Astyanax mexicanus: one gene and its partners. The protein of the gene in region 3 interacts with the protein of the main gene of each other region in a biochemical or structural test. Links are inferred from orthologs where the notes say so. Each region holds a gene or a part of one and is shown on either strand. Other genes may lie near its edges. The genes, in order: bola3, bola1 and glrx5.

The links.
Region 1: the proteins of glrx5 (region 3) and bola3 form a complex in vitro, tested with the Homo sapiens proteins (4 studies listed by BioGRID and IntAct, with this or other methods). The link is inferred for Astyanax mexicanus from reciprocal best matches to the Homo sapiens genes GLRX5 and BOLA3.
Region 2: the proteins of glrx5 (region 3) and bola1 form a complex in vitro, tested with the Homo sapiens proteins (2 studies listed by BioGRID). The link is inferred for Astyanax mexicanus from reciprocal best matches to the Homo sapiens genes GLRX5 and BOLA1.

What each region holds. Positions count from the first base shown.
Region 1 is NC_064423.1:34,726,610-34,734,847, forward strand, and holds the start of bola3 (bolA-like protein 3), read left to right. Parts: upstream 1-4,666; 5' UTR 4,667-4,753; coding exon 4,754-4,783; intron 4,784-6,091; coding exon 6,092-6,221; intron 6,222-6,353; coding exon 6,354-6,442; intron 6,443-8,130; coding exon 8,131-8,196; 3' UTR 8,197-8,238. Other genes in the region: bco1 (beta,beta-carotene 15,15'-dioxygenase), read left to right, coding at 229-340, 1,398-1,552. UniProt on the Homo sapiens protein: Acts as a mitochondrial iron-sulfur (Fe-S) cluster assembly factor that facilitates (Fe-S) cluster insertion into a subset of mitochondrial proteins. Probably acts together with NFU1.
Region 2 is NC_064408.1:115,497,555-115,506,072, forward strand, and holds the start of bola1 (bolA-like protein 1), read left to right. Parts: upstream 1-5,147; 5' UTR 5,148-5,226; intron 5,227-8,193; 5' UTR 8,194-8,216; coding exon 8,217-8,518. UniProt on the Homo sapiens protein: Acts as a mitochondrial iron-sulfur (Fe-S) cluster assembly factor that facilitates (Fe-S) cluster insertion into a subset of mitochondrial proteins. Probably acts together with the monothiol glutaredoxin GLRX5. May protect cells against oxidative stress.
Region 3 is NC_064408.1:87,802,378-87,811,236, reverse strand, and holds the start of glrx5 (glutaredoxin-related protein 5, mitochondrial), read left to right. Parts: upstream 1-5,042; 5' UTR 5,043-5,172; coding exon 5,173-5,461; intron 5,462-8,859.

The DNA of each region.
Region 1 (8,238 bases), on a different chromosome or scaffold from region 3:
AAAAATATGAACACCACACAAGGGTTAAAACTGCAGTATGAAACATTCAGAATATGTATAGCAATAAAGAATATAAAGTGATATATAAAGTGTGATATTGCTACTAAAATTAGAAAAAAGTAAATTTTTATATTAACATAAGACACATTCACTGACTCTTCTTCTTTTTTGCTATCGAAAAATGTAATAATGTAATTAATGTAACAATGATGTGAATCGTTTGATCAGATCACGAAGCTGGATGTGGAGACAAAGCAGCAGCTGGAGTGGACTGCAGAGAACTGCTATCCCTCTGAACCTGTGTTCATTACCAGGCCGGGAGCAACTGAGGAGGATGATGGTGAGCTTATTACAATTCTAAAAGTTTGCTTTTCACGTTAGGTTTCCGGGCAGATTCACCTCAGCTGAGTGATATATCTCACATATTGACATATTCAACTTTTTTTTATAAAATATATAACAACATTGACCTTACAGTAATACAACATATTGGCATTAGCAAATATAAACATACTTTGGCATCGGCCAAGAATTTACATTGGTGCATCCCTTAGTTTAAATGTAAAAATTGGTGTCAGACAGTGGTTCATTTTATTATTAGTTTATTATCAGTTTATTATTAACTTTTCTTTTAGTCAGATTTGAAAAATAATTCACTTTAAACAATCGTAAAATAGCCTTGTTTATCACAAAATATTTAAATATGTTTTGATTACTAACCCCTGTTTTGTGCAAAGGTGTAAAAAATACTAAGATGGTTTTAAAACTACTTCAATTATAAAAGTAAAAGTAATGTAAGGAGAAAAATGTTATTGTTGAAAAATGTTAATGTTGATCAGTTTGGGATGCACTACGTTGTTCCCTGTTTCAGCTGCATATATGAATGTATTTTAGTAGAATATAAATATATTAAAGTTTAAGCCACAGGCTTTTGCCCAGTCACAGGCTTCTGCCCATTCACAGGCTTCTGCCCAGTCACAGGCTTTTGTCCAGTCACAGGCTTCTGCTTATTCACACAGGCTTCTGCTGCCCAGTCACAGGCTTCTGCCCAGTCACAGGCTTTTGCCCAGTCACAGGCTTCTGCCCATTCACAGGCTTCTGCCCAGTCACAGGCTTTTGTCCAGCCACAGGCTTCTGCTTATTCACAGGCTTCTGCTCAGTCACAGGCTTCTGCCCATTCACAGGTTTCTGCCCTGGGTTGGAGTTTGTTTGTAGTTCTCTTGAGTCTCTGCAGGATCATCTTCATACTAGGCTACATACGTCTGTTATGTTTGTGCTGGAATGTGTTTGTGTGTGTGTGGGGGGGGGGGCAGTATAAACCAATAGGGTGTGAGAATGATATATGTTTTTACTTCGTATCCAACCACAACCTGGATTTATCTTCTCTCCATATTCAGGTGTAATTCTAACATCAGTTATAAACAGCAACCCGGGTCAGTCTGACTTTCTCCTGGTGCTTGATGGGAAGTCCTTTAAAGAACTGGCGAGAGTACACGTGGAGGCAGAGCTGCACTTAGACATGCACGGATTCTTCATCTCACAGAGCGACTAAACCTCAGACCTGAAGGAGGAGCTGCTGTCTGTGGAAGACTTGACCGCTTAAATGGGACGAGACCAAAAACTCTGATATACTGTTTACAGTTTACAGCAACCCTAAAACCCCTGTGGCCACATCTGCAGGAGACTGACCAGTTAACACTTATGTTGCTGTTTCATTGTATTTTCATATTTAGCCTTTTTTTTACGCTCTTTAGACAAAATTATTGGGACCTTTGTTTATTATCTTATTTCTTCTAAAATCTAAAAAAAAGACTGGTTTGAGATGTGATTAATGCAAGGTGACACAAAATCAAGTGCAAGAAAATAATGCATGTGATTGATATTTTATCCAGCAAAACTAACTATCTGATATTTTATATTTTACCTCTAAATTAATTCATAATTCATAATTAATTCATGTCATTTTATGTACTGTACAAAATGTGTAAATTAGAAATGTTGAGGTGTGTGTGTGTGTGTGTTTGTGTGTGTGTTTGTGTGTGTATGGTGTCCCAAAAAGAGAAATATAAGATTTCTCTTTTTTTTTAAGTAATCTATGTGTTTAAATCAAAATGCAAATTTGTATTTGTAAGAAAATAATACATACATTTTGATTTTGTGCTTGTGTGTCCATTCCCCACCATTATACTAACTTTAAAATAAACAGTTTTATAGTAACATACTGTGAAGAATAAACAGTTACACACTCCGTCCTTACCCTGGTGTTCTATCAGACCAGGAAAAGAGAGAAAAATAAACCTATTCACTCAAATCTTTAATACCTACCTCACAACATGCAGGGACAGAATAACAGTCAAATAATACCCTGAAGCCATGCGTTATCAAGACAACATCAATCTTACAATCTTGGTGTATTGGGTTTAGAGCAGGGGCTTTTGGAGGACAAACGCTTTTTTTACTGTTTACTACGTAATTCCATATGTGTTCCTTAATTGTTTTCATGTCTTTAATAATATTCTATAATGTAGAAAATCAATTGAATATAGAAATAAAGAAAATATTGATTGAGAAGGTGTGTCCAAACTTCAGACTGGTACTGTATGTACAGTGAGTCCAAGAAGTATTTGATCCCTTGCTGATTTTCTTTGTTTGCCCACTAATAAAGACACTATCCTTCTGCACTTTTAATGGTAGATATATTCTAACATGGAGAGACAGAATATCAAGACAAAAATCCAGAATATAATTTTAAAGAATATATTTTAATTAATTTGTATTTCAATGAGGAAAATAAGTATTTGATCCCTCTTGCCAAACACACTCAGTACTTAGTGGCAAAGCCTTTGTTTGCAAGCACAGCGGTGAGACGTTTGTTGTAGTTAACCACAAGTTTAGCACACACACCAGGGGGAATTTTGGCCCACTCTTCTTTGCAGATCCTCTCTAAATCATGAAGGTTGGTGGGCTGTCGCTTGGCAACTCTGACCTTCAGCTCCCTCCATAGATTTTCGATCGGATTGAGGTCTGGCGACTGGCTGGGCCACTCCATGACCTTAATGTGATTTTTCTTGAGCCAATCCTTTGTTGCCTTTGCTGTATGTTTAGGGTCGTTATCATGTTGGAAGACCCAACCACGGCCCATTTTCAGATCCCTGGCAGAGGGGAGGAGGTTGTCCCTCAGGATTGTGCGGTACATGGCTCCATCCATCTTCCCAGTGATGCGGTGAAGTAGCCCTGTACCCTTGGCAGAGAAACACCCCCAAAACATTATGCTTCCACCTCCATGCTTGACGGTGGGCACAGTGTTCTTGGGGTCATAGGCAGCATTTTTCTTCCTCCACACATGGCGGGTGGAGTTGAGGCCAAAAAGTTCAATTTTGGTCTCGTCTGACCACAAAACCTTCTCCCAATAACTTGGTTCATCTTTCAAATGATCATTGGCATACTTGAGGCGCGCCTCCACATGTGCTCTCTTCAGCAGGGGTACCTTTCGGGCACTGCAGGATGTGAATTCATTGTTGCGCAAAGTGTTGCCATTTGTTTCCTTGCAAACTGTGGTCCCAGCTGCCTTCAGGTCATTTGCTAACTCGTGCCGAGTGGTTGCAGGACGATTTCTGACCGTTCTCAGCATCATTGCCACCCCACGAGGCGAAATCTTCTTTGGAGCACCGGGCCGAGGTCTGTTGATTGTCATGTTATACTCTTTAAACTTTCTGATAATTGCACCAATAGTTGTTACTTTCACATCCAACACCTTACTAATCTTTTTGTAGCCCATTCCAGCTTTGTGAAGGTCAACAATTCTGACTCTGAGGTCCTGTGACAGCTCTTTGGTTTTACCCATGTTGGAGACTTGAAATCTGTGTGATCTGTCTGATTCTGTGGACAGGTGTTTTTCACACAAGTGATTAGTGAGAACAGGTGGCTTCAGGTCAGGTAACAAGTTGATTGGGAGTGTCTAACTGGTCTGTAAAAGCCAGAACTGCTAATGAATACTAAGGGATCAAATACTTATTTCACTCCATGAAATACAAATCAATTAATATATATTCCTTAGATTTATTTTCTGGATTTTCTTTTTAATATTCTGTCTCTCCATGTAAGAATACATCTACCATTAAAAGTATAGAATGATCATGTCTTTATTAGTGGGCCAACGAAGAAAATCAACAAGGGATCAAATACTTCTTGGACTCACTGTATATAGATGCTTATGTATATTTATATTTGTTACTACTCACTGCACCACCAGTGTAAATAACACCTTATACATATATCTGTATGTCTAATCTATCTGTAGAAAAAAATGACTTAAAACTCATTTTTAACATTCACAGTTGTCTAGTTTTTCATTGCTGCCCCTCACAATTTGAATTTCCGGACAATTTATTTAAATAATAATCTTTATTAAATTTTTTGATAACAAAAGTAGGTTTTCGATTAGATCTTTGTTACAAGATGAAAAAAAAGCTGAAAATCTGGAAGAAACTATAAAATATTTTATTCCAGGTTATTTGGGTCCGTTCATATCAAAATTAGGAGTCAATATAAAAAATAATTTATGTAAAAATGTGAAAGAAAAACAGTTGATCGTAAATCCGGCAGGGGGCGCCAAAACACAGCTGAGGAAGAAAAGGGGGGGGGGGGAGTGCTGGATTGCGTAGTATTTGTGCGACTCCGAGCGCGAGGACATGACTTCTTCCAGCGGGCTGTAAAGAAACCGGTTCAGTGATTAATCCGGATTATTCACGCCATGCCGCTCCGCAGCCTGATCACAAAAAGAGTAACTAATACTGCTCAGCTTCTGTCTGTCTAACTGTCTATCTATCTGTCTATCTCTCTAACCCTATGTGTTTATCTGTCTGGTGTTCAGTTTACATTTCCATATCTATCTGTCTGTCTGTCTAACCCTATGTGTCTATCTGTCTTGTCTGTAGTTGTATTTGCATATCCATATCTGACTGTCTAACTGCCCAACTGTCTAACTGTCTCTCTAACTAACCCTGTGTCTATTTACACATTCATATCTGCTAGTCTGTCTAACTATCTATCTAATCATTTGTCTGTCTGTCTGTCTGTCTATCTATCTGTAGTTTATTTTACATATCCATATCTGTCTGTCTAACTGCCCAATTGTCTGTCTAACTGTCTCTCTAACTATCCCTGTGTCTATTTACACATCCATATCTATCTATCTATCTATCTATCTATCTATCTATCTATCTATCTGTAGTTTATTTTACATATCCATATCTGTCTGTCTGTCTCTCTATCTAACCCTATGTCTCTGTCTTTCTGTAGTTCATTTTACAGACAGACACCTAGGGTTAGATAGAGAGACAGTTAGACAGACAGATATGGATATGCGATATGAGATTTTACATTTTGTCTATCTGTCTTTCTCTGTGTCTACCTTTCTGTCTGCCTGTTTATTTATATGTCTATATTTCTGTCTGTTTATTTATGTGTTTATTTGTCTAGTGTCTGTACTTGTTCTGTTTTTCTTTTCTTTCATCAAAAGAAGTTTGCTGTAAAAGTAGTGTAATGTGTGTAGACCAGGGGTGGGTAGATAAATTGATAATCTGGGATTATTTGTTTAAAGGGCCTGATCTCAATTTGTCTTAAAGTTAATTTTTATCTTCTGAAAATGCAGTAATTATCTGGTTTTGATAAACCAGATGTTACCTTACAGTACTGTGGCTATTCTTTTTTCAGTTTTATTACAATCCTTCATCTTGTTTGCTGTTTTTTGTACTCTTGATTAGTAAGATAAATTTAGTCTGTTTTGTTCTTGAAAAAGTGCAGGGAATGTCTGGTGTAGATCCTGCTGGAAAGAAAAACATCATGGCCAGCTCAAATTGGTTAAGATGGATAAACTAGTTGAGCAGCATAGGGCATTTTTGTGGTTTGATGGTTTAACCAACTATGGTAAATAGTAAAACCAACTACCAGCTTTAAGGGAATTACCTTAATCTTGAACTAGACAGCATTCTGAATGGAGATTTTTTATTGAAAGAAAAATATAGTTTAGGATTATGCTTAACTGATGTGTTATAATTAATCCACCGCTCCCCCTGTACTGCTCCTGCAGAGTCTGCTGGTACCGTTTAGACATGTCTTCAGGAGCTTCACCAGTAAAACAGATGGCGAGGACCGGATCACAAAAATACTGAAGGAGAAGTTTCCGCTCGCTTCCTCACTAAAAGTTGTGGACATTTCAGGTGAGCTATTTTACTTAGGCACTGTATCCAGGTTTTCCCCTGTTAAATATTTCCCTGCTTACTGTGGTGGTACTCCTCCGTCTTCAGCTGTTTGTCTGTTTGTCCTCTATCAGCTGTATCTGTTTGTTTCAGGGGGCTGTGGTGCAATGTATGAAATACATATTGAATCAGATGAATTCAGAGGGAAAAGAACAGTGCAGCAACACCAGTTAGTAAATCAGGTATGTCAGAAGAGAGATGTGTACCACATTTTATCATATTTCTTTTGTACTGTGCTTATAAAATTAGTTTGGGGTCATGATTCAGTAAGAGATATATCTCTAGTGACTTGTGATCAGATTATTCTACTGCTGCCCTAGGTGCATTCTGGTAGTGTTGTATTCAACACCAAGATGTTTAGTAGTTTAGATTCAGACAAGACAGAGACCAGATTAAGATATTTTTTCATCAGGTTTGTTTTCACACACAATTTTTTCAGAAAAGATTAGTTTTTTGCTGCTTTTTATTATTTTTATTGGAAAGAAATAGTCAGATAGCTCACCATGCATCCATTCTGGTATAAGAAGATGTTTCTCCATATAGGTCAGTGCAAAAGACAAGCCTTTATGGCCATGATGTCAGTACCCGCACACACGCCACAAACCTTATTACAGTACCCCCACACCAGTCCTATCACAGTTTGGCTTTAGGGAGATATGGTAACACATTACAATAAGGGTCACCAATAACAACACTTACGACAAAAATAGATATTTTAAATGGTTAATAAATGTCTAAATTAATTATTAATTGACATTAGTCAATTAATGCTCATTAAGCAATGAAATAAAAAATACTATATATTGCTAAATTTTACTGCTTAAAAGGTTTAAATAACACTGTAAATTATTTTATCACATAAATGTAACGATTAATAATGTCTTAACTAGTGTCATTTAATAATTAGCTGAGACATTTTGTCGTAAGTATTGTTAGTTAATGTACCTTTATTGTAAAGTGTTACTGGATATACGGACAGAAAGAGATATAACGCAATAAGTCGATGCATCATCATTATTTTACAAAATATACCAATCACACAAGCCCACAAGCACACATCTCAGACCACCAATTTCAGAGGATACTCTGAACCTGAATGCAGCTTTCACACGATTAAAGGTTAAAGTCTACTCTATTGATCCTGAAGGAAATGTAGGCATCCGGTAGCAGCAACAGAATAATAGAAATAATATAGATAGACTATAAATATATACAAAGGGTATACAAAAAAACATGCAGTAGATGGAGCTAGCAGCCAATAAATGATTTACAAAGCAAGAGTTCTAAAATAAAGTGAACAATAGGTGTGCTTTTACACAGTATCTATATGTACATGTACGTATGTTCACACCAAAGCTGCACAATATTGGAAACCAATTACATTACAATAGTATTTTATTCTGCAATATATATTGTGATGTGAAAATACCTGTATTTTTAATAGGAAGTTACCACAAGTCAGTAGTCCAACATGACATTATATTTAATAATGCACTCAGTTTATTAAATGTTTCTGTAAAATAAATAATAATGTCAAAAAACAAATTGAGAACAGGTAGACCTTTAATGCCAAGCAGCAAAAAAGTTTGATATAAGCGATATAAGTATATTTGCCTTCCTTGACATTGCATATTCTGTAATGTAAATATTGTGCCTGCCTACATTGCAGTACCAATGCTGACACTATAAATTGTATATTATAAATTATTACAAATTATTATTATAACTTATTATTATTTATTATTATTGTTATTTGTTATTATTATTATATATTATTATTATAACTTGTACATTATAAATTGCACTAGTGCATACCCATCCATATTTGTGGTTGAGTAAATTATGTTAATATTTTTATTTTGTTTAACAGGCACTCAAGGAAGAGATTCAAGGAATGCACGGACTGCGAATATTCACAGAGGTCCCAAGAAAGTAGAATCTACGATTGTTCACTACACACACATCCATTTTATGCTAT
Region 2 (8,518 bases), about 28 Mb from region 3:
AAATAAAGAGCAGGTTTCCAGTCTTAGATGCTTCTGTTTGCAGATAGTGCTAATCACAAAGAAAATGCAGAGGTGTCACTCTTCTTTACTGCCATTTTGTAGGATAGCAGCCATATTCTGGACGCACTCAGACTAAAAAAAAGGACACTGGAGTTTGGTGTTCCTTGCATTAAATTAAAATACACTGCAAAAAATGAAAGTAGAAAAAAATGAGGATATCTTCTGGCTGGTATCAACTGATTATGAGATTGTCAATAAGATATTCTAAGATTTCTCAGCTCCTTTGTAAATGTTTTTAGTTTTTTTTTTTTGCTTAAATTTGACCGGTAGAATATAGTGCTTGAATGGGCCAAGTAACAAATACAAGCTTATGGTCCTTAGAGGAAAGTCTTTTAATTTGGTGGCTATTTTGCAAAAAGGCCAGTCAGTTATTTCTGGTGAAAAAAGAACAGGATTTCATTTCTTTAAACAAAAAGAGATCAAAATACTAGACGCTGTAGGTCAAATTTCTGCTTTATGACATATTGTAAAAAAAAAAAATTACCACATCAAGTTGAAAGTTGATTGGCTATTTTGTTAAATGGCTGGATGTTGTCTGTGAACAGATGCCATGTTGAACATATATTTGAATATTTGAATCACTGGCCTCCTAATTTGTAAAACGACTCATACATACTACTCTATGTATTACCAGTAGAGCAATGTCTTAAAGCAATAAAAATATCTAAAACCAATCTCATAATAATAAAAAAAAAACATCCTTTACATGGCGCAACTATCTAAGTGCTCCCCAGTGATGCCACAGCCATCCATAAGTTCCAGACAGCACAAATGGCTTTGATCTCACATGGATGGGTAATATGACCCTCAGCCAGCGTTGGCAAATTAAAGATTTTCTGAAATCTATCTGTGTATCTTTTTGACAAGACTTTAGATAATCTCTCTTACCAAAATATTATTATTTGCAGTGTAGAAAAATGACGATTTGTTACCAAAGTAGTTCTGTGATGGATTCTAAGCACACAATCAGCCACAGCCTAAACTCAGCGTCCCACAGTCAGGCCAGTCAGGCTTCTCTGTGCTCCAGCAAAAACAACTTAAGCAAATCAGACTTTAATTAAGGGATCCCAGTACAAATCACTCAAGAACCTGCCTTTTACTTTTTCACTATAAGGTCAGAAACAAACCATCAGTGACAATCTGAGCAGGAGCAAAAAACTAGAGAGCTGCCACTCATATAGGACCCAAACCAGAGTTGCACAATGATCTACTCAGTTACAAACGAAACAGAGCAACAAACTCACGTTTTATACCCTACAGAGTCTCCTAAATAGAGCTTTGCAAAAAAAAGGTTGGCACTAGGATGGCAGAGGATGGCACTATTAAAGTGTTTAGTGCTGTCACTGTCATTTATAATTTAATAACCTTGCAGTTATCTTGATTTAATCATGTTTTTTGCCCTAAACAATGTACAAAACATATTATTAATACACTTTGCACTGCATTTAAAAATTGCAGTTCATATATATTCTTTTATATATTGTTAATATTGATAACTGACTTTACCTTAAGTTTAATCTTAATGGAAATTAAATTATGTTGGATAAATTAACCATTTATTAAAACATGTGGTTGTAGTATAAAATTTAACTACAAAAATTACAATTAGTCCAGTACAGAAGAAATTGTCAGTTGTTACAGAAACAGGTTTATACACAAGCCTGATACCTTGTATATAAGTTGAATAACACATGGCCCAACATGTTTAAAAAGTATTTTAAGGAATTTAATAGTTAAGTGGAGTTATGAATATAACTTAATTTTGGGAGACTGATCCACGCCCTTGCTCCTCTTATTCCCCACCCTATATAAACCCTCAATTCCTCTCTCCCTGCGTGTCCAACAACTTCACACCCACCTCCTCCCCATCTTCCTCCTTCTTCCCTTTACTCTTGCCATTTCCTGTATCTCTTCTCGTGGGCGGGGCTTCAGCTTTACAGCCCTGCAAAGCTGCCCCAAACTCCTGCCCAAAACCTCTGAGCCCCTTTTTTATTTTCCATCTAAGGGCGTGGGAAATACTAGCAAATTAAATGTTTAATATGGCATAATGTTTAATGCATTTATAAAATGAACAAAATTAAGTTCTAATCTGAGTAATTGTGACAGCACTACTCATGTGCATTTGAAAGCGTAAGCTTATAAAAAGCTTATATTTGCAAAGTTCCATTTAGGCACTTTGTGTAGCACCGTTTATTTATTATTTTTTATTTATCAGGGAATCAGATCCAGTTCAACATTATTTTAAGGTTACATATGAAAAAGCACATCCCGCATCATTTCTCAAGTTTGCCATTCCTCAGCAGGCTATCACTGCCAAGTCAGTCAGGCGGAGTCTCTGCCGATACCTGTTTCCATCCGCGGTTGTACAGCATGTAAATCTTAGGCGTCACGTCTCCTCCGTGTTGTCTTTGGTCCGTTCATTGAACTACAGACAAGGATGTCAATATCGCTGTCGTACGCTGTGAACACGCTGATCTACAGTAAACGATCTCAGTGAAGCTGTGGATTATTTGTACGTAAATAAAATAGCAGTCCTGAAATTTGTGAACTTCACCTGTTTGGATTGTTACTGGGTGTTTTAATGATTGTTCAGATTTCTCGTTTTTGTTTCTTGTTTTTTGTTTCGTATTTCGATGATTAGCAGTCAATCGTGTGCGCAAAAAGAAATCAAAGCAATAAAAGTGACTGACAGGTTTCTTTGCTCCGCCCCCTCCAGCCCCCGCACCCTCCCTCCCCCCATTCTATTGGGAAAAGTAAAAGCACACTGAAAAACGAACAGGCCACATGCAATGAGATGTGTAGTGATTTAAAGAAAACAATATATATAGAGAGAAATATAAATATATAAATATACATATATATACATATATAAATAAATTAATATCTGAAAGGCCAATGTCAGTGATTCTACAAATATCCCATAGGTCTTTTGATGCTTTTGTCGATTACAATGTATCGCCATGATTTCAATGTGACAGAGTTTATCACCTTATCATTGTACTGTGCTGTAGAGATTGTAGTTGTTTGTATGTAAAAGTATAAATATGTGGAACAATAAAAAAGTGAAAAAGACAAAAACCGTTGAACACAAGAACTAGAGTACTATTGTATGTTGTTCATTTTTGTGATCCGTTTCTTTTTTGTACATGAGAATGACAATGGCGTAACGACGTTGACATTATCATTGAACATGAAGACTATTTCAATGTTACACCAAAATGGTTCTGTATTAAAGGTTCGTGAGAGACTTCTCATTTTCCGAGTCATGCTGGGACCTGCGCTGCACCTGTGCAGTGAACCAACCCTGTTCTTCAGCGAAATGATGAAAACCTACATATGGATAATAAACAAATGTCATGAAGATCAAACCACTGGCTTTGTAGTTATTGACACAATGGAAAAGTTTCCAATTGGCTTAATTACTGGCAGCTGATTTAAGTCTAAGGTGGCTGAGTTCAATAAGTCTAGCCCATCCTATTCTTCACCCAAAATAACTATTTAAATGTACAACCCCAAATCAGAAAATATATAGCTAGATGCTGTGCAGGGCATATACCACATGATAAAACAGGATGGCACTCAATGGCCCCCCAGTAGACGGTGCTCATGATTAGGGTGGGGGCTCCAGCTCTTCTTAGCTTATAAATCTCTCTTAGATAAAATAATGCACATTATAATAGCATTATAGTGGCATTAATACAATACATGAAAAATTGTGGAAATAAATAAATACATGAATAAATGTGGAAATAAATAAAAAAGGTAGAAATGTTGAAATAAATAAATGAAAAAAATATATATATTGAAATACATAAATAAATATATGCAGAAATATATATTCCAACGAATGGGCGCCAGTTTCTTGTTGTAACTCTTCCAAATTAAACGTATTATTTTAAAAATCTTTTTTCAAATCTGAATCTAATAACATATTTAACTATTCAAAACATGTTCTGGTCAAACTCAGGCAGCTTTACTTAAAATTTTACAAGGTTTCTAAGCCAAAGATGGCTACAAAACTCATGTCACACATAAAAAGCATGTTTAAAAGCAAGTCCACAAATTCCTTTAATTTTCTCTCAAGAAAGTCTTTATTTTAAATAAATGATTGACGGCATGCTAAAATAATTTATATTTATGACAAAAAAAAAAAAAAAACACTCGTTCCGGTCACTGGAACTCCTGTTACTTTTTATGTTTTGAGTAACAGTAATGGGTTTTTAGCATAGAATTAACAAAAACATGAAAAATAGCTAAATGGCAGCTATGCTTACAGCATGAGGACACTGAGCTCATTCTAGTGATTTTCCCATAATTTGTGTTTTAAAAATAAACAAATAAGATTTAAGAATTAATTTAGGTAACAGGAGAGAGTGTTGAGATTGAGCTCTGCAGTCATAGTTACAATAAAAATAAACATACAGAAAAACTAATGATGGAACTTAAGTTTGATCTTCCCATGATCTTCAGAAGAACCATCTGTTGTCACTTCCTGTTGTAGATGAGACTTGTAGAATGATCTAGATGATTCAGAGGGGGTAATGTGTTTTACGATAACAGGACTGAGTGAAAACCAGAGACACAACTAAAATGTGTATTTTAACTTAAAAATCATGGATTTATTATGAAAAAAATATTTTTAGAGCATAGATGAGATTTGGAGTCACAGAACAATGCAAAAAAAACTACATCTCTGAAGGATTTCAATAATTATATTTCATGGTAAAGTTTATAGGTAGAGAGTGGGGACAGGTAGCAAATGCTATTTTTTAAGTGTTCTAAGTCTTTTTTTTTATTAATGTTTTAATACCATATCTTACTTTTGCAATTGGGTTAATGTACAAGACACTATGCTTAAAAATAAAATGTATTTTAAAGTTATTTTGTATGCACATTTATATATGTAATTTCCTGGGGACAGAAATGCCACCGATTCTGTGGAATGCCCATAACAAAAATAATGTATTATTTTTTTTGTTTATCTATAAAATTATTCTTGGGTGTATTTATGTATATAAATATGTATTTATTTATTTATATGTACATTTATTTATTTGTACTTCAAAGTTCTCCGCCTGACCAGCAGGGGCGCTGCAGTGTGTTTAGATCAGTTTCCTCTACAGAGAAGAAGAGCTGAGAGAACAGAGGACGCTGAATAAAAGTGAGGTGAGAAAAAACTCAATAAAACATGATAATTACAATTTTAAACGTTTTCCTGAGATACTGGGGAGTGGGGTTTAACTAATACCTCAATGTGAACCCAGTACTGTGGGGGGAATTTGTTACAGGGAGCCTGACTGACTTAAGCTATTAAATAACAGCAGAATCCTACCTGAGTCTGTGTGTTAACTGTTTAATCTGTGATACTATGGAGAGGAATTGGTGCCAATTTAAAAAGTAAACACTACAGTGTAAAATGTAAATACAATCCACAAGCTGCACTGCTTTTCTGCACCAACATGCAGAACATGCAACAAAATTAAACGTAAATCCGCTGTTACATTACATCTCACTGCACTTGATATTTTTATAGAAAAACAATGCGTAAAAATTTACATTTTCAAAATCAAACGCTGAATTTGTGTCAGAATTGCACACAAACTCTACTCCATTGTATTCCACTATGTTGCACTGCTGCGAATGTTCAAACGCAAATTCACAATGCACAATAGGTTTGGGCGATATGGGCCTAAAATAATATCACGATATTTCATGGTATTTTCACCCTATCGATACTCATGGCGATATGACAGAACACTGATTTAAAATAATTATTTCAAGAATACACTACTGCAAGAAAATGAAAATAAATTCTATTATTGCATACAATATGATACGACACACCCCTAACTGAGATATTAAAAAAGTACAAGAATTGGTCAGTGATCCACAATGTCATGATACTAACAGTGTTGGGAAGGTTACTTTTAAAATGTAATCCCTTACAGATTACTGATTACATCCCTCAAAATGTAATTTGTAACGTAATCAGTTACATTACTTCAAGTGAGTAACGTAATCTGATTACTTTGGATTACTTTAAATATTGTCGTTTTTTTAAGCCTGAATGAATGTAGCAACCACATATTGCATATTGTTTTTTTAATTTTTATTTCCAGTTAACAAATAGATAAATAAATAAAACAGCCTTTTCAATCACCCTATAAACATACTTATAAAACCATTTCATCAAACAATTTTATGAAACACTTCTATAAATTGATGATAAAACCATTAAAAACTATTAAAAACCAAACAATGTACCAACAACTGTAAGCTATCTATTTGCAGGTTTGCCACTTTCTGCAGGTGGTTTCTTTGCCAGGATTATCACATAACCATTTCCTTGACTGCTTTATAACCAGAAATATATGAAGATGTGTGTGCGGAGCCGCTGTCTGCCTCTCTTCCCGTCTCGCTGCCTTGGCTCACACAGACACCGCTGCACACACACATAGGGAGGAGTGTTCCCTGTCATATCAGAGCGATTTCACAGCAAAAACAATATTTATTTGTTTGTAATTATTCAAAATGTCCGCCGAGTCGATTTCCATGCCAGGGCATGGCAGGCTCTCGTCGTCAGGCTCCATTGCGCAGACTAGCACAACCAGGAGGTTGTGAATCATAGAATACTCTGAAGTCGTGATTTATGTGAATGTGATTGCGTTTTGTCAGTGTTGGATTGGAAGACCAAAAATAGGAAAGTACCGCAATGTAATCCATTTATTTTAGCAGAGTAACGGTAATCTGATTACCACTTACTGAAGCAGTAACTGTAACGGATTACAGTTACTCATAATTGGTAATCTGATTACGTAACGCCATTACATGTAATCCCTTACTTCCCAACACTAGATACTAATAATGCTAATAATGATACTGGACAGATATAATTTGTCTCTAGTAGATATATAATAGGAAATGAGAACAGTGTTAATTTTTCTTTTGCTAAAAACAGCAAAAAAAGTAGTACCCTGATGAGATAATTAGGGGTGGGTGATATGGCACGATATTTCAGGGTATAATATCGTTCACGATCTTTAAAAATGTTGGCGATATTATTGCGTATGATACAATATGGCACACCTCTAATTCACAGGATTGCATTACGTCTAGGAGCAGCATGGTATTCGTTCCAAAATGAAATGTAATAACTGTCCAATCAGAACCCACTACTAAAATTGGGGCAGGGCTGACCCAATCAGAAGCGAGCACTCAGCTGTACTTTAAACCAGAGAAAATGTCTTTCGCAACAGGATTCAAGAGGAAATACACGCTCTAATTCTATAAATTAAGGCTGGCACAGTTACAGATGACTGCATGCGACCACTCTTTCACAATTCCAGCCCCATTAATCCTCGCATTGTCATCTTGTAATATGTCCGTGCCATGAGGGAAGAAATATAAAATGCATTGATGGAATAACCTGGTCTATATTCAGTATATTCAGGTAGTCAGCTGACCTCATTCTTTCAGCACATACTGTTGCTGAACCTAAAGCTGCAGACCAACTGCAGCATCAACCCCACATCATTTACTTACTTAAATCCAGGTGATGATTTTTTTCTGCATGTATTTGTCTTAAAGTCTAGTTTTAGAATAAAACAGAAATATTGTTAGAATAATTTTATAATAATCGGTGTTATGATTATGAAATAACTGATATAGTCCTAAAGTAGAGCAGAAAGAAAGTGGACTGCAGGACTTTTTGCTGTTTTAATAAGAGCAGATAAACCTCTATTTGCTGCCCTGTCTGTACCATTAAAATACTCAAAGTTTAAAGTTTTCAGTGCCTTGTTTTAAAGGTCAGGCCTCAGAATTCTACCAATGAAGTGTGGCGCTATTTTGAGCTTGTAGTTAATGGTGTAACAAAAAAAGATGGGTTATTCTATGCCCCTATTTCTAGTATTTAAAGCCTGTTGGGAGCATCAGTTAAAAGTGCTGTATTTTGAAATTCCGGGGGTGAATGAAGGTAGACTAACTCAAGTCTGTTTAACACCGGATTTCTCCTTTAATACTCTTGATTTCCCATTACTTTTGTCCCATGTAGTGTATTTTAAGGTAGATGTGCTTTTTAAATAAATTTTTGGTATATTTAAATAGAACTGCTGTATTTATTTATGATCTCCACAGGCCTGGTCACTCCTGACCTGCTGATGTTGTCCAGCGTTCGCTCCGCCTCTCTCACCTTCGCCTTATCGAGACAGTTATCTCGTTTTGGGCCGAGCATGGAGCCCGGTGGCACTCGGCCCGTGGAGTCGGCCATTCGGACCAAGCTGACTCAGGCTCTCCAGCCGAAGCACCTGGAGGTGCTGAACGAGAGCCACATGCACGCCGTCCCCCCGGGCTCAGAGTCCCACTTCAGGGTTCTGGTGGTCAGCCCGTGCTTTGATGGCCTTTCTCTGCTGCAGCGCCACCGCCTGGTGAACGAGGCCCTGAAGGAGGAGCTGAGCTCCTG
Region 3 (8,859 bases):
AAAAATATTTTCACCTTAATTGTCATACTGCTTTGAAATAAATAAAAAAAAGAAATACAAAATAAAAGTTATAGCAGTGCATGGGCAATAAGATTAGACTACATCAGATCAAACTACTAGGCTGGGCCTACTGAAGCTGAGAACATATACTGCACAATATTAACTGTAATATGAAACCAGATGAATCTTATTTTTAATGATCTGTATTCATGAGTGCAAACAAATTTCGTGTCATCACATCTCTCTCTCTCTCTCTCTCTCTCTCTCTCTCTCTCTCTCTCTCTCTGCAGTCTACTTGCTGCTGTGGTGAAGCAAGATTGCCGTGTCTGTGCTGCATGCGGGACATTTACTGCCCTCTAGCGACCGGAGAGAGCATTTAATTTGTATTCATTTAAAAAAAAAATCACAACTTTTGATAGAAATGAGCTAGAAACTCGCTTCTTTTTTTGACATACTCAGAAATTTATGCCGGGCCGGATTAAATCATCCAACGGGCCTGGTCCGGCCCGCGGGCCGTATGTTTGACATGCCTGCTATAGATCATACAGATCAAACACTTTCATTGCTAATAATAAGAGCACCTTGGGGCTAATAATATAAAAGCCCAGAATCTGCTGACCTGCAGAAAATTAAAGTAGTACACCATTTCTTCCCTAATAGTAGCAAAGGGTAGTGTCCCTTCTGACTTGCTGTAGCTTAACCACTCACCATATACTGGTTAAATAGTGGTCACAAGTTCTAATGATGACTTGTGACTGTGATTACTTTAACTGTTCAGACTGTACATACACACTGGTTTTGAAATACAGTAATTATTAAAACATTTATGTACTGTCCATACCATACTGAATACACTGGACAAAATTATTCTGCATTCTTGCAGAGGGTAATTATCTTTACACATATTTTAACTCTCCATGTCATATGTAATCATGCTCATGGATTGCACAATTCACCTTGCACTTTGTTCATTTTCCTTCATTTGTTCATTTCCTGATAATTCATAATACAGTTAATTGACCCCTGTTCAAATAACATGTGCAACTGTAAGTGACATACCTTCCACAGCAATCGTTTTAAAACTGGGGACCAAAAATATAAGTTATATATCATCCAATATGTCAATAAAAAAAGATACTTTAAAGAAAATGCATTTTTCCCCAAAAAGTAAAAAAAAAAATACATTGACACATCCTGTGACTCAGCTCAGAGCCAGGAGTGTTTCAGCCCAAGATCACACAATGAAGTACAATACAGTACAGCCAAGCAAAACAGAGCTCTGCTCTTCTGCATTCGTTAGTCATAGGTAGCAACAGGAGTAATAGCAAACATCTGCTGTTTAAGGATAAGCAACACTTTTTAAGTTTTGTGGCTATGAAGACCTCTCTGCTGAGAAAGTGTAAATGCACACAACATGTGAAGTACTTTTATTTAAATAAACTGTGTTTTGTTCATTTATTAAATACTGTTTAAATGTTCAAAGCAAATGACATCCAACAAACCTCCCAGACCATGCTGCCTTTAGAAGATGCAGGAATGAATTAGCATACATTCCTTAACACAGAAAAACTACTGCTTTCAAATTAACAGTAAAAAGTAAAAATGCCTCAAACAAGAGTCGCCAACTTTACTCTGACATGTAATAGTGGGGGCAGCACACACAGCACAAATCAAGCAGTAGCTTGGGGTAATTAGTGAATATGGCCCGTTTGGAAAGGGCATATTAAACTAGTGCAGAAAAGCTTTTTCCATCTCGTTCCATTATGCTTTAGATCAGGTCACCTCTTCACAGCACAGTCAGAAGTTCTCTCTAAAAACAGACAGAAAAGATTAGGACACACATTGAACATTACCGTTAATGGCTCAAGCAGTTCAACAGTAAAGTGTGGCAATTTAAAGTGTCTGAGAGGTCAGCTCGCCCAAACAGACAATATCCCAGTGCTTATTTTCTCTGCCTGTTTTGAGATTGGTAACAGTACTGCCAGACTGTCACCGCCGTGGAAACAGGACTGAGGGTTAAAGGTGTTGAAAGAATATCGCACGAAATACCTCTCAAGTTTAAGAGGTCCCGCCTTCGGTTCTTCCATTAATCTGGGCAGTGCTAATGGGTCGTTCACCATCTACAGGAGATGACCACTGATTCCAGCACTGCCTTGTCAAAGCCAATAACAATAATATATCCAGCACAAATCACTATACAAACCGTCTTATACATACATACATACCACAATGAATACTGACACGCAATTACTCTAAGGTCCCATTTTCATATGTCCAATATGAATTGTGAATAAATTACTCATGCAAACAAATCTTGCTTATAATATACTCAATTCATAGATGGCCTCATGCTCTAATCAACAACATTTTTTACAGCACTTTAGAAATGTTTTAATGATAAGTATCAGAACAGTCACTGAACTGTAAAATCACACAGGGTTCACAAAACCTTTGCTGAGCTGCAGTTATTTCTTACAGCCACCAGATGTCGCTCTTCTCTGTGGCTCCAATGCCTAAACTCCAAAGCTTCAGAGAGGCTGCATCTGCCCATCACTAATAACTAGGGTTGTCAACATTAATGCATGCAGATCATCTGGAAACTAACATTTTTCCCCCGAAAATTAATCAACTGACATTTTTTTAGTTAGCAATATAAAAAAAAGTTTATTTAGCAATATAACACATAACACATCAGAAGGTAGCTTAACTTTTAGTTATTCTCTTATTCACACAAACACAGCTCATGACACATTGCCTTTTTCAAGGTGGAGCTCCACTATTGATTATTTTCTCTATTAAAACTTAGTATCTCAGCACATTACAACATTCTAGTTTAAAAAGTATTAAAACTAGTCAGCCAGGTTTAGAACCACACTAAAAAGAAAATTAATCAATTAACGATTTAGTCACGAAATACAGATGCACTTAATATCATTATTATTTAGGGGATTGGCTCCAATAATATAAATCTAATTCCATATAACAATTATATTGTGATTAATATGATTTGTTTTTTCGATTGACACCACTACAGACAATAACTCACGTTGTTTTGTACCTGGCTATTAATTAACAACATTTTTGTAGTTACATTTGAAACACTGCTAACTAGTAGGAACTAGGGATGCAAATGATTAATCGACTTTAGATTAATTGTCGATCAAGAGGTTGCTCGAACAAAATGTATTACTCGCGATTAATCGCTAGAGGGCGCTACTGTAGTAACTTGAACAGAGCGTGAGAACGAGAGGTGAACACGACTCGCGAGAGACCAGGGTTGAAAACAAAATGAAGCGGGCGAAAATAAGTGCGGTGTGGGACCATTTCAACAGTGTTAATTTAGGCAAAGAAGTCAAATGTTCTCTGTGTAATGCGGTATTGAAATACAACAGTTCCACTAGCTCACTCAGTTATCATTTGAACACCGTCACAGTTTCACTGAGAGCGCGAGCGTGTGATGAGAGAAGGGCGGAGGACATTACAGAGAGGATATGCAGCATGATCAAGAGAGATTTGATGCCAATCTAGACAGTTGACGGTACAGGGTTTCAGGATCTCTTTGCATTGAGGATTGTTGAGGATTTCCTAATTAATAGCCTGGATGCAGTTTCTTCATAATCTATAGGCTCAATAATAATCTGTTTGGCTCTCTATTTAATTTCTTCTATTCTTTTTTTTTTTTTTTTAATATGTCTAATGGTACAAAAACGCAAAAACTGAGCCAGTCCTTAATTTATTTCTCTTTTTAAATTAAAGAATGTATTTTCTTATACCATAAAAAGTCTGCTTTCTTTTCCTAATGCATAATTACTTGAATATATAATATAATATAATACAATATAATTATCATAATATAATATATACTTTTTGAGCTCAGTGTTTTAACTATTTAGCTGGTATTTTTAAAGGCCCTATTGAAACACTAAAATTCAGGTAAAAACGCCGCTTATCAATTAATCGAAAGTCGATCGATAAGATCAATCAACTAATGATTAACGAATTAATCGATAATTTGCATCCCTAGTAGGAACCTAGTTAGGTTAGCTAACGATAGTAAGGTTAGTTAAATAACCTACATGCCTGTTTTACAGTATAATGTATGTTTTGATTATATTAGGCTAAAACACACATATAAGCCTGATAAATAGTTAAAGAAACAACTTACCTTAAACCAGCAGGGCAGCCCTACAGCTGACATGAGTGCTAAACCTGTAAAGCTTAAAAACCTTTAAAGCTTAAAAACCTGTAAAGCTTCAAAAAACTGTACAGCTTAAAAACCTGTAAAGCTTAAAAACCTGTAAAGCTTATAAAAACCTGTAAAGCTTATAAAAACCTGTAAAGCTTATAAAAACCTGTAAAGCTTATAAAAAAAAAAACCTGTAAAGCTTATAAAAAAAATAAAAAAAAACCCTGTAAGCGCTAAACGAAAACACTGAACCAACACAGGAGACACGGCGCCTGAATTTAAGCAGCACTGCCCGGAAATACCGTCGGTGCACGTTTACAAAATAAGAGTCTCTCTTAAGTATTTTTCATTCTGGTCATTTACCGCCTACACTGCAAAGTCATTTACACGTAAGCTATATTTAGCACGGATACGAGTGATAAACATGTAAAAGTTTGGCTTCATAACATAGCAGCTTGTGTAACACCTAGTACCGTAGTTCCGGTAGCATTTGATCTGGGTCAGTCTCAAACACATATGTGCTCCCTATATAGTTAGGACACTATGTAAGAACAGTTAGAACAAATCCCAGAGCCCGTCCTTGATGTATTCTAAGAGCAGAAGTGATTTCAGCGCGCATCATATCACATGTATTACACTTGAGGGACGCCGAAGCCACACGGAAGATAATCGCATGGCGCACTTTGTAGGGAATATAGTAGCGTTTCAGACGCGCCCTCCCTGGATAGCGGCGGATTTGCTTTCCTGCGTACAAGAGCTGCGCACGATTGCGTTGAGAGACGTGCGCTTTAGCCAATCATAGAAAAGCACCAACACGCGTGCACCAATGAGCTTCTCGATGTGCTGCTTACCCGCTGGCGGGGCGGGGCTACAGAGACTTGTCTTGAAAAGTCTGGCTTGTCGTGGCGTCTCGGAGGAAGCGGTGAAGTCCAGCGAGTTTTTGGTCGTTTGTTTGTTTTGTTGGTGTTTTTTTCACCGTTTTCAGAATGAACAGTGTGTTCGGAGCGGCCGCTCGGTCTGTGCGGGCGCTGTCAGCGCTCCCCAGGTTAACTCAGCCCGGCGGCGGCGCTGCGTGCTCGCGGCTCCTGTGCTCGGCTGAGGGTCAGAAGAGCCTGGAGGAGATGGTGAAGAAGGATAAGGTGGTGGTGTTCATGAAGGGAACCCCGGCGCAGCCCATGTGCGGGTTCAGTAACGCCGTGGTGCAGATCCTCAGGATGCATGGCGTGGACAACTACGCCGCCTACAACGTGCTGGATGACCAGGACCTTAGGCAAGGTCAGTGCAGATACGACCTCCTCCAGCAGGCCGGCTCACAGCGGGCCTGTCTCACCGCCTGGAGCAGCTACAGGTGGAATAACGAACCTAATTGAGAGAGAGAGAACTGGGTCATTCTCACCTGTGTTCATTAATATAACAGTAATATAGCTAATTCAGTACACAAATAGTAGATCCAGATAGATGAGAAGTTGAATTCAGTATTATAAAATTAGTTTTTACATATTTATTTGGATCATACATTAAACGATATATTTAAATGGGTAATAATAATAATAATAATTCTGTTCTTAGTTCATTATTAATCATTGTATGATTTCATATTCAAATCATTTTATTTTACTTTTACTAATATCCTTTTTTATTTTATATTTTATACACTCTTTACTTTTTATGTGTAAAAAAAAATCTTTTTTTTGGATTAGTTTGAGATTAGCAATGTTTTTAAATGTGTTATTTATTATCATTTTTTACGTTAGTTCTAATTTCTTATCTAGATGTTTTCAGTTCCTTTTAAAGTGTAAATGCTTTACTGCATTGTAAATGTAATGTAATCCCTAGGGAAAATAATGATTGATTGATTGATTGATTGATTGATTGAAAAGATTAAAGTTTGCCATAAAGTAACCTAAGTATATATTAAAGAAAAAACATCAGAATGACTGTGTATGTTTTCAGGCCTTTGTAAAATTACTTTAAATCTTAATTAAATTAATTTATGTAGTGTAGTGTCAGGCTTTAAAAATTTAATTTGGATAATTCCAAGTACTGTTTTAATGCGATTTTCAAAATGATTTAATAGAGGTTGTACATGTTTACATATAGACCCTGTCACAGGGCATCACTCAAGCTTTAAATAGTAGATTGACTTTCGTTACTGTCAGAAACCTGTAGAGAACTCTTCTGTGGCAGATATTTTTATATTTTCCACTTTTCTTTAGGTGACATATGAGAAGGTTATTTTTGCATTTTGTTAAGTATAATGTTAAAGGGAGCTGCTTGCTATTCCTAAAAAAAGCTTTAGACAGCGTATATTCTTATTTTTGCTTCATATAAGTGTTGTGCTTGCACAGTTTTGAAATCCTGGAAAATAGCACAAATAAAAAAAACTGAACAAAGCTTATTTTTTTGTAAGAACTACAACTAGAAAACTAGTAGACAACAAATCAGGAATTACTATATTTTTTCATAACATTGCCAGCACAACAGTTGTTGCCACAAAGCAGCTTTAAACAGATCTGTGTCAAAGGCTTCTTGGAGTAAGCCAAAAGCAACACTGGCAGGGAAGATCTCTGTCTGACTGAGAGGAAGAAGCCTTGGGAGGAACCAAGACTCAGCAGGGGGAAAACAGTCCTCCTTTGGTCGATAACAGATAGACCGGATAGCACTTCCTGTGTTATGATAATTTGTGTTCCTGTAAAAAAAAAATATATTAACGCATTACTTTAAATCAGTGTTTATCTCACCCTAAATGTAATCAGTCAGCTGAGACATGCTGGTATTTTAAGCTTGTAGCCCCCCAAATAACACTGAGGCCACAAGTATAATGTAGCTTATAAAATGTGGAAGCTTACAATAAGCATATTGCTGTGAGGCTAATATAGCTAACATCAATTAAAACCTGTTTCTCATAGTATAGCCTATTTTGAGTAAAAAAAAGTTTCAGTTATACAAGCCTAGTGCCAAAAACGAAGAAAATTTGTCAGAGAAGATTGTAATGCTAATTAAGAGAGTCCTGTAGTCTGTCTTATTCATGTTCAAGGAGCTAGTGGTCTAACACATTAGCAAAAAGGCTTTCATAATTCAAGTTACCTTAAACTTTCATAAGTCTGTAACCCACACATAGTTACAGAAACTAGTTTTCCAACCCTAATCCAAGATGGTGACCCATTAACACACTAATATCACTTTAGTTCCTGATGATATTATATTGTTAACCTCTTGGTTAGTTTAATTGTCAGGTTTCTGTATTTCCCAGGATTACCACCACTGGTAAGCATGCCAGACTGTGCTAGATATAGAAGAATAGCTTGTTACACAAATCAGGCATATGTGTGCTAGAACTTGATAAAAAAAAATTGGTGGATGTTTGACCATAAGGCAAGAAGCTTTGCTTTTCAGAATAATGAAAACGCTTAAGTATTGCTGAATTCTTGATATTGGGTTCTGTTGTAGTATAGTTGGTCACATGTGATCCATGTAATGCCCATTGTGTCCTTAATGCGAGTCACACTGCTAGTTCACCAGCCCAGTCACTACTCATTGTGTCCTTCCATTCTCAGACAATTTGGGAACTAAGTGATTGGCTTTCCTGAAAAAAAAAATATTTTTAGGTTTTTAAGTTTTGTTTTCCGCACAGTTCAACTAAAGTACCTTTTAATTCTAAGAATAAGCCCAATCAACTAGATCTTCTCAGATCTAAGTAATACAGCCACATAAGACCAGATATGCTTATAGTTGAAATGCTTAGCATTGGGTGGATACATTTGTGTTACATGCCCATAACCTGGAAACATATCAGATTTGGGACCATATATGAAATGACTCTAATGCAGTTTGAGATCAGATTAAATGTGTCCACACAGCCCTGAAAAATCTTATCAGCATCACATTAAGGCCAAAAAATCTCAAATGTAGCTTAAGTGGTGTTCTTGCTTGTTTTTACAGTAAGATTATGGCTGCGTGACAAAAAAATAAATGTAGGCAGGTGTGAAAATATGTTCTTTACTTATGAACTTAAGAAAGTAGCAGTCCATGATGGATCAACTAATTATTTTTTTTAATTTTTTTTATACTGTCTGCTCTCCTCATTTTTACCTTATCTGTAGCTCATGAAGCTCATGTAAATGTACCTGAACAGGGTTAGTTTTGTTTTCCAGTTTATCTATCTGAAGCTTGGAAATGTGATCCAGGAGAAGACAAAGGCAGCGAGACTGTGGTCACTTCTTTCTGAAAAGCCCCTCAGTCCCTGCCCTGAGCTTCCATCTGCTTTCAGGATCAGTCAGGAGTGCAGTTTGAATGTGAGCGTCAGCTGCTGCTGATGGCTGAGCTTCTCCGGTGAAGGCAAACGTTAAGTGTGAGCTTTGTGCCCTCAGATTGCCTTTATCTGTCATGTGCAGCAGTGACTGGGCGTCGACTTCACAGCCCAGAGAACTAGATACTACCCCCAAAAAACTGAAGTGTGTATGTGCGCGCGTGCATGAAACCATTCTGGACAATAATGTGTCTATAGTAGATATGTTTACGGTATGTTTTCAGATACAGATCTGCCACATGGAGTCTGTCCTATGTTCCCGCTGTTTTCTAATGGTTCCTCTGCTGTACCTTTTAACCTCATCCTATAGTACAGATACAGTCTGACACTGCTGCCTGCTTTTTATCTCTTTCTTGGACCTTTA